Lepisosteus oculatus: one gene and its partner. The protein of the gene in region 1 interacts with the protein of each later gene in a pairwise test. Links are inferred from orthologs where the notes say so. Each region holds a gene or a part of one and is shown in the gene's direction. Other genes may lie near its edges. The genes, in order: caska and tbr1b.

Region 1 (7,959 bases):
TTTCTGGGGACAATCGGGCAGAGCACACCAGTGAGTTGGGAAAAGAACATCAGCAGGGTCACAAAAACTGACTTTAATATAATATCGTTACCTAGTCAAAAGGCAAACTGAGGATGTTAGCAATTGCTTCTATTTCTGTCTCCAGAAAATACCATAGAAAAGACAATTGATGGAGACAAGTGTACGAGTATTGCTCATCTGATTAGTTCCTGTTTGAAGTGAATAAACTATCATTTCTGGTTGTTTGGTTGAAATGCTGTACTGTTGCCAAAAATTGACTGGTCAATTATGCAACTTACAAGTAAAATATACCTTGCCTGCAAAAGTACTAAAGATAAAATACTGGTTCTCATTTAGAAAGGCTTTATATATAAGACTAGCCCCATAGACCCCATAGCAGAATCAGAATACTATGATTGCTTTGATTTATGTAAATAGTTATATTTTGTGCTTATTCTAAAGGAGAGCTGCTTCCTGGTTAAAGAAGAACTAACCTACTGACATTTAGACATCTGTAAAAAGGATTTCCGGCTAAGACAAAGACTTAAGCGTATGACTGAAGCTTTCAGGCTGTGCCTGTCCACTCTTCTGTTGAAAATGTTTGCAACTACATCGGTGAAAATAATGTAGCATACCTAAAGAGACAGATGAAAAACTGATCGCTTGATTATCAGGAAGGCAGAGGGGGACAGATGTTCCACAGTTAAAACAGCTCAAGAACAAGGCACAGCAGATGTCATTTTTCAAAACTGAGAAATTAAACTGTGAAATATTGTGTAGCCGCACCCATTATTTACAGGTCGCATGAATGGAAATAATGATGACGTTGCAGTACAAAGTGATCTTGGATGGACTATGTACCCCGTAGAGCCTTGAATGGCACCTTATTCACATGTGAGCTGCATTGAAATGCATGACAGGGGAAGGGTGCTGTCACAGATGTCGGAAGGGACAAACCGTGGAGAGGCAGGAGAGCGAAAAACACCCTATGCGAAGTGGCGGAACGGGGAGTTAGCCCGGGCTCAGCAGTGCAAAGAGTTCTGGAGTGCTGTATAGAAACCTAAGCCCTAAGGCCACGGACAGAGCGGCGACCTGGTGCTAGGCGGGTCTCAGGACATCTGAACATCAATGCTGAGCGAAGCAGAATAAGTGACCCGGAAATATATAGCCCCAGAGAGAGAGACACCGGAAGGAGAGCAAACACAGGAAACTAGGGACAGGACAGAGAAGGAGCGCCCTCTGGCTGCAGAGGGCGTGACAGGTGCAAGGCGATATTATATGTAAAAGACATCTGAGACAATGCCAGACAGCCTTAAAGCTTTTGAAGAAAATAAAGGGACACCCCATCATACATTAACAGCCCTAACTAGCTCTGGTGATAGAGCTTGAAACTCATAATCTCAGGATAGTGGGTTTGTGTCCCTCGTTGGGCGCCAGGTCCTCCACGTTGGAGGTTGGGCACAAGGTGAACAGCCCTGTCCTGTAACAAAACCCAAAATGTTATGGACAGGATGAAACAGGATGTTGCTGCCCCTACATCCCAGAAGGCATAATGGGCAAACATCCATCCATCATACATGAATACATTCTAGTAACCTTTTGAACAGAGAAGTGACTGAGAGCCTCTTGAGTGGCTCATATGACAGCCTGGAGACTGTTCACATACAAGTTACACTCTCTGGCATATCCTGGCTTTGGCTGTGGTTTCCTGTGGGTGTTGCTGTGAAGGTGTCGTGTGTTGGGATGGTGGATCTCTGTACTTCAGGGGTGCCTTCAACCCCCCCATGAATTTAACAAACCTCAAGCAGTACAACACCCTCTCATCCAGCTTCCCAAGAATCCTTCTAGGTCCATTCAACTTTTAGGTCCAAACCCACCACTCTTGAGAAATTCCCTTCTACTGTATGTCATTGACCACTGATTCGGACCATATGCTTGCATGACTGATGACTATTTATCAGTAGCAGCTATTTCCCTTCTTTCTATTGAAAGAAGAACTTTGTTATTCAGAGCTGCAGAATCTAATTGCCAAACAAAAAAAAATTGCAGCTGGCTGGGCACCCCCTCTGTCTAGTAGGATGCTTGTCTAATGTCTTCATTAAGCCTCCCAAGTCCATGCAGAGCTGCAGTCATGAGTCTGGCAATTCCAGACGAGGTGTTTACAGAAGGACAGAAATAAAATTGGCGAGTAATGTTGTTTTTTTCTCGGAAATGGTGAAATGCTCCTATCTGTGTCAATGTTGAAACTTATGTGATTCTCAAGGCCAGGCTACTATATACTCCCTCGTTAGTGTCTGCTTTTTTCTGGTCTTATGTTGATATTAATATTGGTATTATAACGGACTTTTTACAGCTGAATTGACTCCGCACCTTGCTTTACCTCTGTGTGATCTCCAGATAAAGAGTGTTTTATTGAGGTTAAAAGATACTTTGGCACTACAAAAGCTTACAAGAGTACTTGGGTGTATACAGAACAAAAGTTTTCAGAATAATAATAACTTTGAACATTTCCTTCTTGATTAAAATGCCATAGTTTTATTCCTTTTCCATGTTTTCTTAGATTTGAAATTCCGCCCATTCAGGCAACCCAATGTCTTACAGGAATGGGCCATGGAAATAGTACAAATAACATGCGTTAGTGACAACTGCAGTAAATGACCTGCTCTGTTTGAAAGAGGTTGCATTGTATCCGTGAGGAAGGAATGCTCTCTGCATGTTACATTGCTTGACAGCTCTGTCATGCTGTTTGTTAAAGCTCTTTGCTTTATTCACTCTCACAATTTCCAGAAGCATTGATGGAAATCTCCCAGGAATCTCTCCAGAGAAGCTTCCATGCTGAAAAAAATAAAGTTTTATGCATAATAAAGAGGAATAAAAAACAAAAGCTAGGCTCACCCCCTGGAACCAAAGGAAAAGAAAAACAATAGTCCTATTGTTTCTTTTAGCAAAAGACAAGAATGGATTTTTAATATTTTAGCCCCAATTAGGCGAGAAGACTGCAATACTATCAATCCATCTTTCTCAGAGGAAGGGGCTGACCAAAATAAAAAACATTCAAACAGAAAAGGCATCCAGATGCGAACTGTAAAATTATTCTGATGTTGTTTGAAGCCTTGAAAGCACAATGACGCAATAGAAGAATGTTGCCATTTCTGCTTAAGTGGATGCTTTTTAAGAATGGCTTCCTGTTTATGTGAAGTTTTATTCAAAAGAGCAGGCTCCACATGCACATAATGACACCCCTCTAACACGAAGCACAAAATAGAACAGACACAAACACTTGCATGTAAATGAGGAAAATAAAAAGGTGTTACATGGCTACAATGACACTACTGTGGGAACAATTCCATTATTTTTGGTCCTTTTAATATAGCATAGTGTGTTTCCATTAACAGCTCTGTTATAAATTGTCAAAACGGTTCCAATAAAATTTAACGTTTTTAGAATTTCAACTGGAATTTCAAAGGTGACATAATGTTTTTTAGGGAAGTGACATTTACAACCTTAAACACCTCTTAATAGTGCTTGTTTTAATATGTTTAATATATCCAGTGGTACTGTTCCTTAAATTTATAAATGACTTAAAGCAGAAAAAAAGAACTGCTTGCTTTGTGATTTGCTAAAGCACAGCTGCTTTCACGTGCACGTCTGTCTTGTTCAAGGCTGAACCGACAGCAGACATACCCTCCAGCAAACATTTTAGTGCTACCATAGCAATCACACACAGGTCATAAACGTTTAGATTTTGAGGCGGTTTGAAAACACTTACAAATAGGATCCATTTACACATGCGTGCCAGAATAGCGAGCGGTGAACCCGCCTAACATCCTGAACTCCCAGTTGCTAAGTGTAAATCCAGGAGCATTGGGTGGCTTTTAATTGTATCCGAGGTCAGCCTTTGTGACTGCAAAAGCTGCCAGTGGCTCAAGTGTCTGCTTTCTTCAGATACAGGGCTTCCCATGAATACAGTGTATTGTTGATGTTGTAGGTGGGGTCATTAAGATGTGATGTGATGTGGCAGGGCTGTCATCTCGTGTTCGTGACTTGAGCTCCAGAAGACGAGCTAGCAGGTCATCACGATGGTTACAGCGCTATAGGAAGAAAATGCATTCGGTAGTTTCACTGTACAGTACGTGCGAATATGAAGAGGTTCGAAGTTTGCTTCCTATATTTCATTTACAAATGGCTTTTAAACAATGATTAACAAGGTGGCAAACATTTAACAAAATTCCAAGTGGATATTTCTATTCACAACGATTTATGAAATAGAGGTATTAACACTCCAAGCTGCCTTCGCTAACTAGCTTTTCTGTTTCGCACAAGCTGAGTAAGCCTTTGCTACGCCTCAGCAATGAACTCTTTCCCCTGCCCCATCCAGGTGCGGTGAGTCACCAGCCACCTCTCCTGCCGCCTCTCCTAGTCCCCGCTTTTGCTTGGCTGGGTGGAAAAAGAAAAGCATTTGTGAAGGAAAGAGGTGACGTCACCCGATGGGTATAAGGTGCCCAACGCGTGCGCCGTAGGCTTTCGTTGCTACCTTGGATTGGTGGACACGGAGCAAGGTTTTATTAAGAAGGAGTCAGGAAACTGCGTCTTGTTTAATAAAAAAGGCGAAAGGTACGCCATCTTGGATCCCCGGGCTGCGTTGTGCATTGCAGGATTCCCAGGCTCCCGATGGAGCCACAATGGCGCTCTAGGAGCCAGTTTCGTAACGTTGGGAGGGAGGAGCCTGCCGTTTCTGGAAGCCGGAGCAGCAGAAGCAGCAGCAACGGCGGTGGCGGCGGCGGAGTGGCGGAGTAAGAGAGGAAAACTAGAGCAGCGGCGAACTGGAGAAGAGACTGGGAGATCCATTTTTTTTTTACAGCGCTGGTACACCTGAACACACACGGGGAAAAAAGCGTGTGCATGAAAAGACAGACAATGAGCGTCTTTTAAGAGGAGCCCAAGCAAGCACGGCGTGCAAACTAGCTGCACGCCCAGGAGGGCATCGCAATTTGTTGGATTAATCCCGTGCAATATTATTTCAAAGAAATAAATCTATATATAGAGGCATCGCAGCGTGGACTGGGAGAGCTTTAGCTACAGCTACACCGAGGAGCAACGCAGACGCAGGCGTAGGAGAGGCGGAGTGTTTATTTTAAATCGCTTGAAAATCTCAGTTTGCAGCCTCAGAACTGGGGGATTGGGGATTGAAGCCGGGGAGACGAGGAGAAGGTGGGGCCGGAGACCGAGTCAGACAAACGGACTAAAATACGCAGAAATCGCCGGAGCCCGAGCGCCTTTGCTTTTTTTGGTGGGGGAAAGGAGTAATTTTCCGCCTATTGGAATTTGGAAAGCCACCGAACGGCGTTTCGCGATTTTCCCAGTCTTTCCCTCCCCCAGTCCAAGAACAGCAGTACAGAATTGTGATCCTTTGTTTTATTTTTAAATATACCGTTTTGGCTGGGCATATTGGGGGATAATTTCCCCATTCTTGTTGGGCCATGGCCGACGACGACGTGCTGTTTGAAGATGTATACGAGCTCTGCGAGGTGATCGGAAAGTAAGTGCCGTGTAAAAATTCAGATTGTACAATGAAATGCAATGCATTCTGTTTTTTTTTTTTAGTTACAGACGTTGACGCAAGATGTTCATGGCTTCACGAGTTTAATCGTGTGCTTATTGGCAAACTAGGTGTGAGGTTTTTAGGGATGTTCCTGAGCGCACGATTTAGGCTGTTGTAATTGAAAATGACTGTCCTGGTGCATCAGCCGAGTCTATTGGGAGATAATTCACGATTTCAGGAGTTGAAACGAGTGACCGTTTCGCCTGGGGTTGCTCTAATACATTTCAGTTGACAGTTTTAAAATGCACTTCGATTAAAAGGTCTTGTTTTGGAGAGACTGCACGTATTCAGAAAAAAAGGCGTTGACAATATTGAGTTACAACATCTGGCAGCAGTAGGTGGGATTTGACACATTCATAGATTTCCATTTAAACCTTTGTTTTCAATGTACAAGATTCAGTCAATCTTGTGGTTTTGCAGAGGCATTCTGCTTAATCTGTATAGATTTTGTGCTTAATGTGTGTAACATTTTAAACCCTTTCTAAAATCCTTGTATCTGTAGGCGGCCCTTGATATGGTAATGGACAGCTGTGTGTGAAACATGAATGTTACACGTAACTCTTAGTGTAAATTCGACCGTATGCAATGGAGCAATTCTCTGCATGCTACTGGCAAAGTGAAAGTGTTTGCTGTTGAAGATAACACTGTGTGTACTTCATCAGTGTTTATTTTGAACTATTGCGGGAACTCATCCGTTGCTTTCTTTATCCGTGTTGTGTAATTACGCTTGGCAAGGGATAAATCCAGACCAAGATTATTCAAAACGGGGATTAAGTTTTAAAGCAGTAGCATACCTTTCAGAACAACGAACAGGATATCTTCTTTAGTAAACGCTTTATTTCCGTATGGTTTAAGAGATGGCAGTCTTGCATCCGTTTATAAATGAACGCTTCACCTGTGTCGTGTGTTGTAATTTTCGCTTACTTTTCGTGGACGGGACTTTTTTTTTGTGGTCACGGTGATTTTGCAGTGTCTGCTTTTCGCTGACAGCTTTCGCTCAGGTGCACGGATGATCAGGTTGTCTTGATTATTAACGTGGGCATAACATGCCTTTTCGTATATTAAGTGAAGGGTTTACGCAATCTTACGATTTTTCATCCCAATATACTAAACATTTCCATTCCAATCCCGCTTACGTTCTGAATGGGTTTTAGTTGACGTACATCTCAGTGTGAAGCGTTACATGTGATTGCATGTGGTCACATGATGGTCGTTAACGTATTCTTCCCCACCAAAGAAACATTAAATGGGAGACTTTCCCTGTAATTGCCTATGAGCTCAGAGCGCTGATGTGTTTTGAGAATGCAAATGGAAAATTCGTGACCAAAAAGTGGAATCACGACAAAAACCTGAAAATGAGCTTCTGTGATCGTGGCACAGGTTTTGCTAAAGGAAAGTGAAAACTATGGAGAGCTTTACTGCTCCGCCCTCTTGAGAGTTTTAACGTACACAGTATAGCGTGATGAGGTGAACTACGATCCACATACTAAGTGAGTATAGCGTGCTGGCCTTCTCCTCCAGCAGACCGCAAATCAATACAGGAGTCGGTTTAGTGTAGGAATCGCTTTCCACCAGATTGCAAACCGTCTGTCCTGCACAGGATGTGCCTTCTCTTTTTGAACCAGAATGCAGGGTGCTGTGGCTGATGATTTGGTGCATGTCACAGTGTGTGCTTTCCGATTTGTGGGTACATTTGTGTACTTGAAGGAGGCTGTTCAGATGTACACATAGTTATTAATAACATTAGTGACCAAAGGCCTGACTGTGAACACCAAATTACATTGCCGTGGTGCCTGGTAGTTCACAATTGTGAACAGAAATTAGGTAATCTGAGATATGCATTGAGGTGTAACGTGTAGCCTATGTAGTAAATATTTTTGGTTAGTTATGAAGCCACTACTAGCAACTGTAATGAGAAGCATCAGTTAATCAATTTTATTTATAAGGCATCGTTTCACATTTTGAGGTTCACAATTACATAAATGTTTCCGTATGTCCAGACAGTTTGTCATGGACAAAAGCAGAGAATGGCACAGCTGTGGTGTATAGATGGGGACAAAAATGGTCTCCAAACTGAGCTACAAAGCCAAAGTGCTGTTAACCTAATATCTAAAATGTGACAAATCAAAAAGTAAGGGGAAGGTCGATACTCCACTCGAGTGATATTGCAAGGCCTTTCACTTTCACAACGTGCTGTTTGTGTGAAAGTCACTAATACTTTGTGACTTTACATGCATTTAATGGGGGATTGTGTGGTGTTCTGGCCTTGTAATGTGACGATAGCTGGTTCAGACTCCAGTGGATCTGCAGGTGTTCCCTTGAACAAGGTGTTGCACCAGCTTGCTCCAGGAAAATAC
Region 2 (7,934 bases), on another chromosome or scaffold:
GACACTCTGGGTTGTTGCTTATACGCAAGTCATCCAGTAACTCACTGATGTACTCTTATGTACTGATACAGCTGCCATAAAATTCTAATATCCATAATGAACTGATGAACGTGCAATTTATGTTTTGTAGTGTGTAATTGATATTAGCCTGGTAAATACAAGCATATCTCTATTTTATTAACAGAATTGAGCAGTGGTTTCCTCTTCTAAAACTTTACAGTAAACCCTGCTTTAAGCAAAAAGGGAGAAGTACGTGGTGTGTGAATGATGGTAATAAGTGGTATTCTATTCCATGTTCAGTGAACCAGCTCTTAAGAGTTAAGCTGTGCCTTAAACCACTCTGCCAAATAATGTGTGTTAGTGGTTTATGTAATGCAATAGTAAGTTTGAACTGTTCACATTTGAATGGATGATTTCTGAAACTGAGCAATTATATTTGAGATGATATTTATTGGTTTAATGAATTAATGTTAAAAATTATTTCATCTTAACCTTGTGTTTTTTATAGAATGAGCAAGTTAAATGTAGGAATGTCCAATAAATATGGGATTTAATTATTATTGATTACAAAGATGTTATTACCAATATAATATGTATTTAGGGAATGATATTTGCATCTAGTGTTCAATTAAAATGTGCTCTCTAAAAAAGATTGCCAGTTTTGCAAATAATAAACAAGTAAGGTATGTCGTTATTAGAATTCTGTGATCTACTGATGTACAGAAATAAAGCTAATTTAACATGGTAAGAAAATCTCCACTTTTATTATTGCCCAATTATTTCTATCAAGATTTTCAAAGTTAATGGTTATGTCTACAGTAAAACACATATGAGTAAACAAATAGCTGCAACTACCTCCCTCCCCATCCCAAAAAAACCCTGAGGTTTAGATAGCGTTGTCATTAATAATTACAGGTGTTCCTCAGAGATTCTGGGTTCCGATTCGGTTAGTTGTGTAACTAGCTTAGTCGAATGCAAATAACTTTTAAAAGTAAGACAAATAAACCATGGAACTGAATTGTTCCCTTGCCTGCAGTGGGTATAGAAAAAAAAAACAGCCTTAACTACAGGTCTGCTGTGGATGTTAAAGTGAACCATAATGAGTAGGAAATGGTCTGGCCTCTTGATTGGGCATAGGCAAGTCCATGCTTGTATGTTTCAAGAGAATAGATTACTGGACCTTATTGCACAGCTGTAATGACCTCTCTCGTTAACCTTATAGCTTCAGACCTCTTCATTATTATATAAACAATTTGTGGTTCCACAAAGCCTGTGTCGGAATATCATACAAAGAGTTTTGCACATTTAAATGTATCCAGTGGAAAAAAAACAATATTTTTTGTCTTTTCAATTTTAATAAAACAATGCACATTGTCTGAATGAGAGAAGTAATTCTTCTCTTTACCTCTAACACTTCTTTAAAAGATGTTGGCTAATGTAATTGACCTGCAGGGTTTACCCATGTGATTTGAAACCCTACATAGCCTTTGTCACAAACAGTGTGATGCACTTTAAATATAACCACTGTGGTCACTAAGAAGTAACATGTGGTACTTTTAATTGGTATCCTAAAGTAATATTAATTGGTTTGCACTAGGTACTCTAAAAAAAAATTGCAAGCCATATTTTAAATCAAAATTAAATTCTTACACATTAAAGCAAATTCTTTCCACTCTAAAATCAGTACACATGGGGTTTCCAATTCATGTTTGAATCTTGATAAAGTAGTTTAAGAATCTTAATAGTACTTTGTAGGTGGCTGAATGATATCAAAACTTTAATATATTGTAATCTTTGAGAATCATGTTCAAAAATTGTTTCCTTTGTACTCCACAGAGCTGTCAACCTTAATGTAATGTTTTTCATAATTGTTTAATCTATCACTGTACATTACTTAAACCTCGGTTTCTTTTGCAGGCTTTAATCCATGGATTGAACAGGCATTATTACTCAATTACCATCAACTACAGGAAAAATGAACTAGAACAGAAGGTTTGTAGTCTCTTCATTGTACTGTTTTTAGATTTTGTTAATGTAAGGTTGATTGAGTCTTTAAGATTTAGACAGTGTAACAAGAGACATTTGTGTTCTCTGTACTGATTTTGAATGGGAGTTATTTCTCAAAACTACGGAACAGACAGGAACATTTTATCAAATTGATTTTTGTTTTAACAGTCAGAGCCCATATTTATTAATTTTGATGCATTAAAACCTCACAACAGATGTTTAGATGTTGAATTAGTTAAATAGGATGCAGTTTAAACAATAAACCTAAGTTTACACCTAAAATAAGATTACCGTTTGAAGCTTTTAAAGAATATAAAAACATAAAAAGGGTTGCAAACGATAACAATTCAACCCACCTAGCTCTGCTAGCAGCTAATTTACCATTTTGTTTGGTTTCAATTGATGTAATGTTTTGCAAAGGTGGGTCGTTTACCATTATCACAGTACTGAAGTTAAAATAAAGCAATTTACTAATCACATGTAGGCAGTGCTCTTTACTGAATACTATGTATTTTCCCTATAACCTGGTTCTGCCTCTTAAAAACAGATTATGTTCTCCAAGTGAACATATAGGTGATCTCCAAATGATTAATGTATACAGACTCGGAGATCTAAATCCTACTCAGACTTGCTCCCAGATTTCCAGAATTACCAAACCCCAAAATAAATGGTAGTCTTTGTGGGCATCCTTCAGCACCGCAGCACACAACACTATTTTCTAGGTAATATATTTACTTTTAAATTTCATTTCATGCATGTCTCTAAAAATATTATTTTTAGATGCTGCTTAATTTGCATAAGAAGAGCTGGATGGAAGGACTGACCCTTCAGGATTACAGTGAACACTGTAAGCTTAATGAAACGATTGTGAAGGAGATGCTTGAGTTGGCCAAAAACTACAACAAGGTGATGTAGCAACAGACTTGCTGTTTTCTAACTACAATTAAATTAAGATTTCTTGTTTTTCCCTTTGCAGCGCATCAATAAAGACCTTTATTTAATGATAGCAAATTGGACTTTTTTACCTTCAAGAAGGTTATTGGCCAAATAGCCTAGTGGTTACACTGGAGTTGACTTTGTGAGACTATTCAAAGACTTCATTGTTACAAATCAAGTGAGAAAAAAAACTAATGGACAATCAGTATCCACTTCAGAACAGCTTGTGGCTGCTTGCATTGTGATACCACCAAGCCTCAAGTAACACTTCATTTTGTTACAGCTTTAGCTCTTTGATAAAACTAACAGTGCGCTCGCTACCTTAAGCAGAATTTAGATCGTGTTAAATGTACAAGAATTAATTAAATTATTGAAATTTCCAGAAATGATTAAAAGATGCTTCTGAGACAGGCTTCCAAAACATCTTTAAATCACTATAAACACAAAAATTAAATATTTTTGTTCCTAATTTTAGGCTGTAGAAGAGGAGGATAAGATGACCCCTGAACAGCTGGCAATAAAAAATGTTGGAAAACAGGCAAGTTATTTGTTTTTTATGAGCATTACTGTTTACTAAGAAGAGTCTCAGTATTTTTAAATTTAATAAAATACTAAAATGTAAATAATTCCATGCCATACAATATGTGATGGAATTCCAAGTATAATCTATGAAACTCATATAGAGTTCTAAATTCTGTATGCAAAATTGAAACAGAGGTGTTTAAGACATTTTCTTAAATGTAATCAGTTTGCTTTGATATTTTTTAATTGGTAAAACTGAGAAATAAGGATATTTTCATTTCCCTAGGTATACATCTTAGGTTTTTTTTACAGATGTGGGCTTTTTGTCTGTAATTTTTAAGCTAATTTTTTCATCTTGATTTCCTCTTTTGGAATGTATGTGATGTTCAACTGAACAGTTATGTATTGGATTTTTTTATTATATCCAAAGATGTAAAGGTGCTTTTCCATGTTAAAAATAAAAATGTTTTGTTACAACAAATGAACCATCTTAGTTGCCTTTGGCAACTTAAATGTTTAACAAATAACATTTTTCTTTCTTCACAGGATCCAAAACGTCATTTAGAAGAACATGTTGACGTTCTGATGACATCAAATATTGTGCAGTGCTTAGCTGCCATGTTGGACACAGTGGTCTTTCAGTAGTGCAGCCTTTGTTTAAAAGTCATACTTATTCTTTACTTTTTACTTCAGTTATTTTTTAAAAAAACAGTAACTTGTATAACATGTTTGTGAACATATTGCCGCTAATTAATTCCCTCAGAATAAATGTCTGGCCCCATCACTGATGTTGCACAAAACTTCAGTTAATGTACAGTTTGTCAGTTTTACATGCTAGGAGGAATGCTTTTTGTTTTTTGGTTCAGGTGCAGGAGAATACTATTTCGTCATGGTTTTCTTAAAATATCAGGTGCAGGTGAATGCTACTTTGCAATTTTCTTGAAATATCTGTAAAGATCAGGATTTATTTGTATGTAGTGATATTTATCACCTCTTAAAAATAAAGACAAAGATGACAAATTCAGAACCTTGATCTTTAACTGCCAATGCTTAATGTTGACTGGTTATTTCTTTGAACATAAAACATTGAGAATTTTAAAATAAAGTAATCCCATTTTTGATTATTTTTCAAAATTGTTTTCTGTTTTCTGCATTATCAGTGTGAAATGTTTTAAAAGAGCCATTTGATTTTTCGGATGCAGGACTATATAGAAACAGCTTTGTTCAGGAGCTTGGAATGATAAAAGTGAACTATATTTAATATCTATTTCTGAAACAAAGGCCTGGGATGTCAGAATACTTATGCATGTTAATGAGACTCTAAGCAGTTGCAAAAAAAAAATGTTGGATGTTGTATAATAAAAAGGTGAGGAACCCTTTCACATTCTTGTTCCACCTTCTTGAGGGCTTGAAGTCCTTCCTGAGTCCACCCACAGATAGCTAATTAGTTGCTGAAATAAAGAGGAAGGTGTTTTGAATCATTTGCCTTACACCTTGCATTTCCTCAAATGTAGTGTTTCTCACTGGACAACCCATAGTTGATTGCATGTGTGCATGGCAACAGTGTCATTATAAGGGGGGAAAAACTAATCCCTTACAGTGCCAGCTAAGGTAGACATCTCCAAGTGCACTACTGGCTTTGATTCTGGAATGGGGTGCTTTCTGTGTGGAGTTTGCATGTGTTTTGTCCAGGTGTTCTGGGTTGCACCCAGTTTTTAAAGACCAGTTGGCTAGGTTAATGGCAGCCTATGATTAGTCCAGCGTGTGTGTTTGCCCTGTGCCAGACTGCTGTCCAGTCAAGGATGTAGTCCTGCCTTTACACCTTTTGTCTGACGGTTAAGGCTTTGGCAGATTTTTTACATTGCTGCATAGAATGTTATAATGGAATTGTTGATGTAACATTAGTTCCCCTTGTAAATACCATTTAAAAATAGAAAAACGTTTCTTACATTTTCGTTTTAGTTTGTAAGATACATATTTCATCATCAGTTTTGATATGAATGGTTAGCTGTAATGTTTAAGTACACAGTCACTGTACACTGTGCTGTTCTTTTCCTGACTAAATTCTGAATGTTTAGGTGCTGATACAATGGATGTGGTATAGGAGAAAAATCTTTATCAACGAAATCGTATAGTTTGCTCTGCAAGCCCGGGTATCACTGACTTGAGCCATCCGATTGTAGTAACCCTGCGGTTATGTATTAAGATGTGCAAAGTCTAGATTATATTTTGCATTTGCTAGATGCAGAAATCAACACTTTTTCCTGAGTTAATTTAGCGTTCAGCCTCAAACCTTGGCCGGTCCGCTATCTGTTTTGCTCCAGTTTTGGCAAGAAACGCTGTCACAGTCCTCCACATCAAGAAGTCTCTCACACAGAAAAATAATTGGTCCAGTTCCTGCTGAGAAGATGAAATTCGCTGGGGAATATTTTTTTTTTCCTCAGGAAAACTCAACTACCTATTCGCCGTTCACCGGATTGTAATTCTTTGTTAAAAATGTTTTTTCTTGATTTCTAAGCGAAATGTTCCGAGTATAGCGAGAGTGAATATTATTGACCACAAGCTTTATTCTTGTCTTTTTCTTACCATATAAAACGGCCCTTTTAAATTATTTGAGTGCTTGTGGATCTAATTAATGTATTAGATGTGTACTCTTCATAAACTTTCATCTGAAACTTGATTTCAGATGTTTGTAATGTATAGGCCTGCTTCGTAGACAGTTTCAAAAATCAAAATTTTGTTGTTTTAAGATTCAGCGTCTGCGGAAATTGATTTTTAAAATACATATATGTCATTATACGAATTCTGGCAAAGAAGGAGGTACTTCAACATCGAACGGAATGCTCTAACGCATTAAAGTTGTATTGCTTCACCACGGTCGGCTTAACAGTCTGTAACTATACTAGGCTAACTGCGACCTTCATACTGTATATACACACGCATATATATAGAGAGAGAGCGAATTTAATTATATAATGTCAAAAAATACCTTGGAAGCCAAGAGGTATTTAACGCTTTTCATTTGGTGAATGCATTTTCTATTAGGTGACTTCTGCGTTTTGATTCATATCGAGTCCTAAGTACCAACATAAAATATTCATTTGCTACGGGACCGGTAAACACATCTTTAAAGGTACTGAATCATTTCACGCTATATCACCAACATTTTAAGGCATGAAGTGTGCTGTCATCTTCTGTATTTTAATAATAAATTGTTTCACTCATAAACATACTTTGCTACTCTTGCTACGTTAATGGGTAAATATTGTTCCCATTTCCCTCTATAATGTGTCACCTATAAATTGTTTTTTTTTTAACAGATTAAATGCACTAGAAAAAATGGTTCGCTTTTGCTCTTGGGGAAACCGGTGCGCTATCTACCATTTTCAAATAATTAAAAATTCTAGTAAAATAAACTGAAAAATATGTATTTCATGCACATTTATGTAAAGGCTTTATGTGTTCATTTATGTTTATATTTCGTTTATTGCGTGGGTGGTAATATCACAAATGGATAAATAGCACAAGCCTAATTTAAAATACTTTGAAATATTTGGGTCCACTTTCTAAGATCGAATTGTCCAAAACAAAGAACTATCTTTGATAGTCACAGAGAGACCCCGTATCGCGTCTGTGTGCATCTCTCGCTATTTGCTATCTTTGCGATTAGGACCCAGATGATTATCGTAATTAATGTCTGTCTAATTAAATTACTGTCAGCAACGAACCAATAGCAAAAGTCGTTTCATTAGCATTGCTGGCAGAAGGATCAAAAGCAACCTTGTCTGATTACAGCATAGTGTCAATTGGCTAATCGGCTGTCTAACAAAAACTAGATCAAACCACGGGAAGGCGTTTTCTTTCAAACTAGATTTTTGGGGCGTTAAGTTAACCGAGGAGAGGTTTCACAAAGGTTGCGTGAATCGCTTTTGTTTAAAGAGCTATGCAGCTGGAGCATTGCCTCTCACCATCTATCATGCTCTCCAAGAAATTTCTAAATGTGAGCAGTAGTTACCCAAACTCAGGCGGATCTGAGCTTGCCTTGCAGGACCATCCTATTATATCCTCCACTGACAACCTGGAGAGAAGTTCACCTCTGAAAAAAATTTCCAGGGGGATGACGAATCAGTCAGAGGCAGACAATTTTCCTGACTCCAAGGACGCACCGGGGGACGTCCAGAGAAGCAAACTATCTCCTGTTCTGGACGGGGTCTCTGAAATTCGTCATAATTTCGATGGATCTGCGGCAGAAAGGTATCTGCTGTCTCAATCTAGCCAACCCCAGCCTGCCTCCGCTGCACCTAGTGCAATGTTCCCTTACCCAAGTCAGCATGGACCAACGCATCCAGCTTTCTCTATTGGAAGTCCGAGCCGATACATGGCTCATCACCCAGTGATTACCAATGGAGCATACAACAGCCTTCTGTCTAACACCTCTCCGCAAGGCTACCCAACTGCTGGATACCCTT

What was found.
Region 2: the proteins of caska (region 1) and tbr1b interact in a two-hybrid assay, tested with the Homo sapiens proteins (2 studies listed by BioGRID and IntAct). The link is inferred for Lepisosteus oculatus from reciprocal best matches to the Homo sapiens genes CASK and TBR1.

What each region holds. Positions count from the first base shown.
Region 1 is NC_090710.1:3,905,099-3,913,057, forward strand, and holds the start of caska (peripheral plasma membrane protein CASK), read left to right. Parts: upstream 1-4,579; 5' UTR 4,580-5,480; coding exon 5,481-5,539; intron 5,540-7,959. UniProt on the Homo sapiens protein: Multidomain scaffolding Mg(2+)-independent protein kinase that catalyzes the phosphotransfer from ATP to proteins such as NRXN1, and plays a role in synaptic transmembrane protein anchoring and ion channel trafficking.
Region 2 is NC_090707.1:14,385,057-14,392,990, forward strand, and holds the start of tbr1b (T-box brain protein 1), read left to right. Parts: upstream 1-4,689; 5' UTR 4,690-7,408; coding exon 7,409-7,934. Other genes in the region: psmd14 (26S proteasome non-ATPase regulatory subunit 14), read left to right, coding at 1,918-1,992, 2,788-2,913, 3,419-3,481, 4,012-4,110. UniProt on the Homo sapiens protein: Transcriptional repressor involved in multiple aspects of cortical development, including neuronal migration, laminar and areal identity, and axonal projection.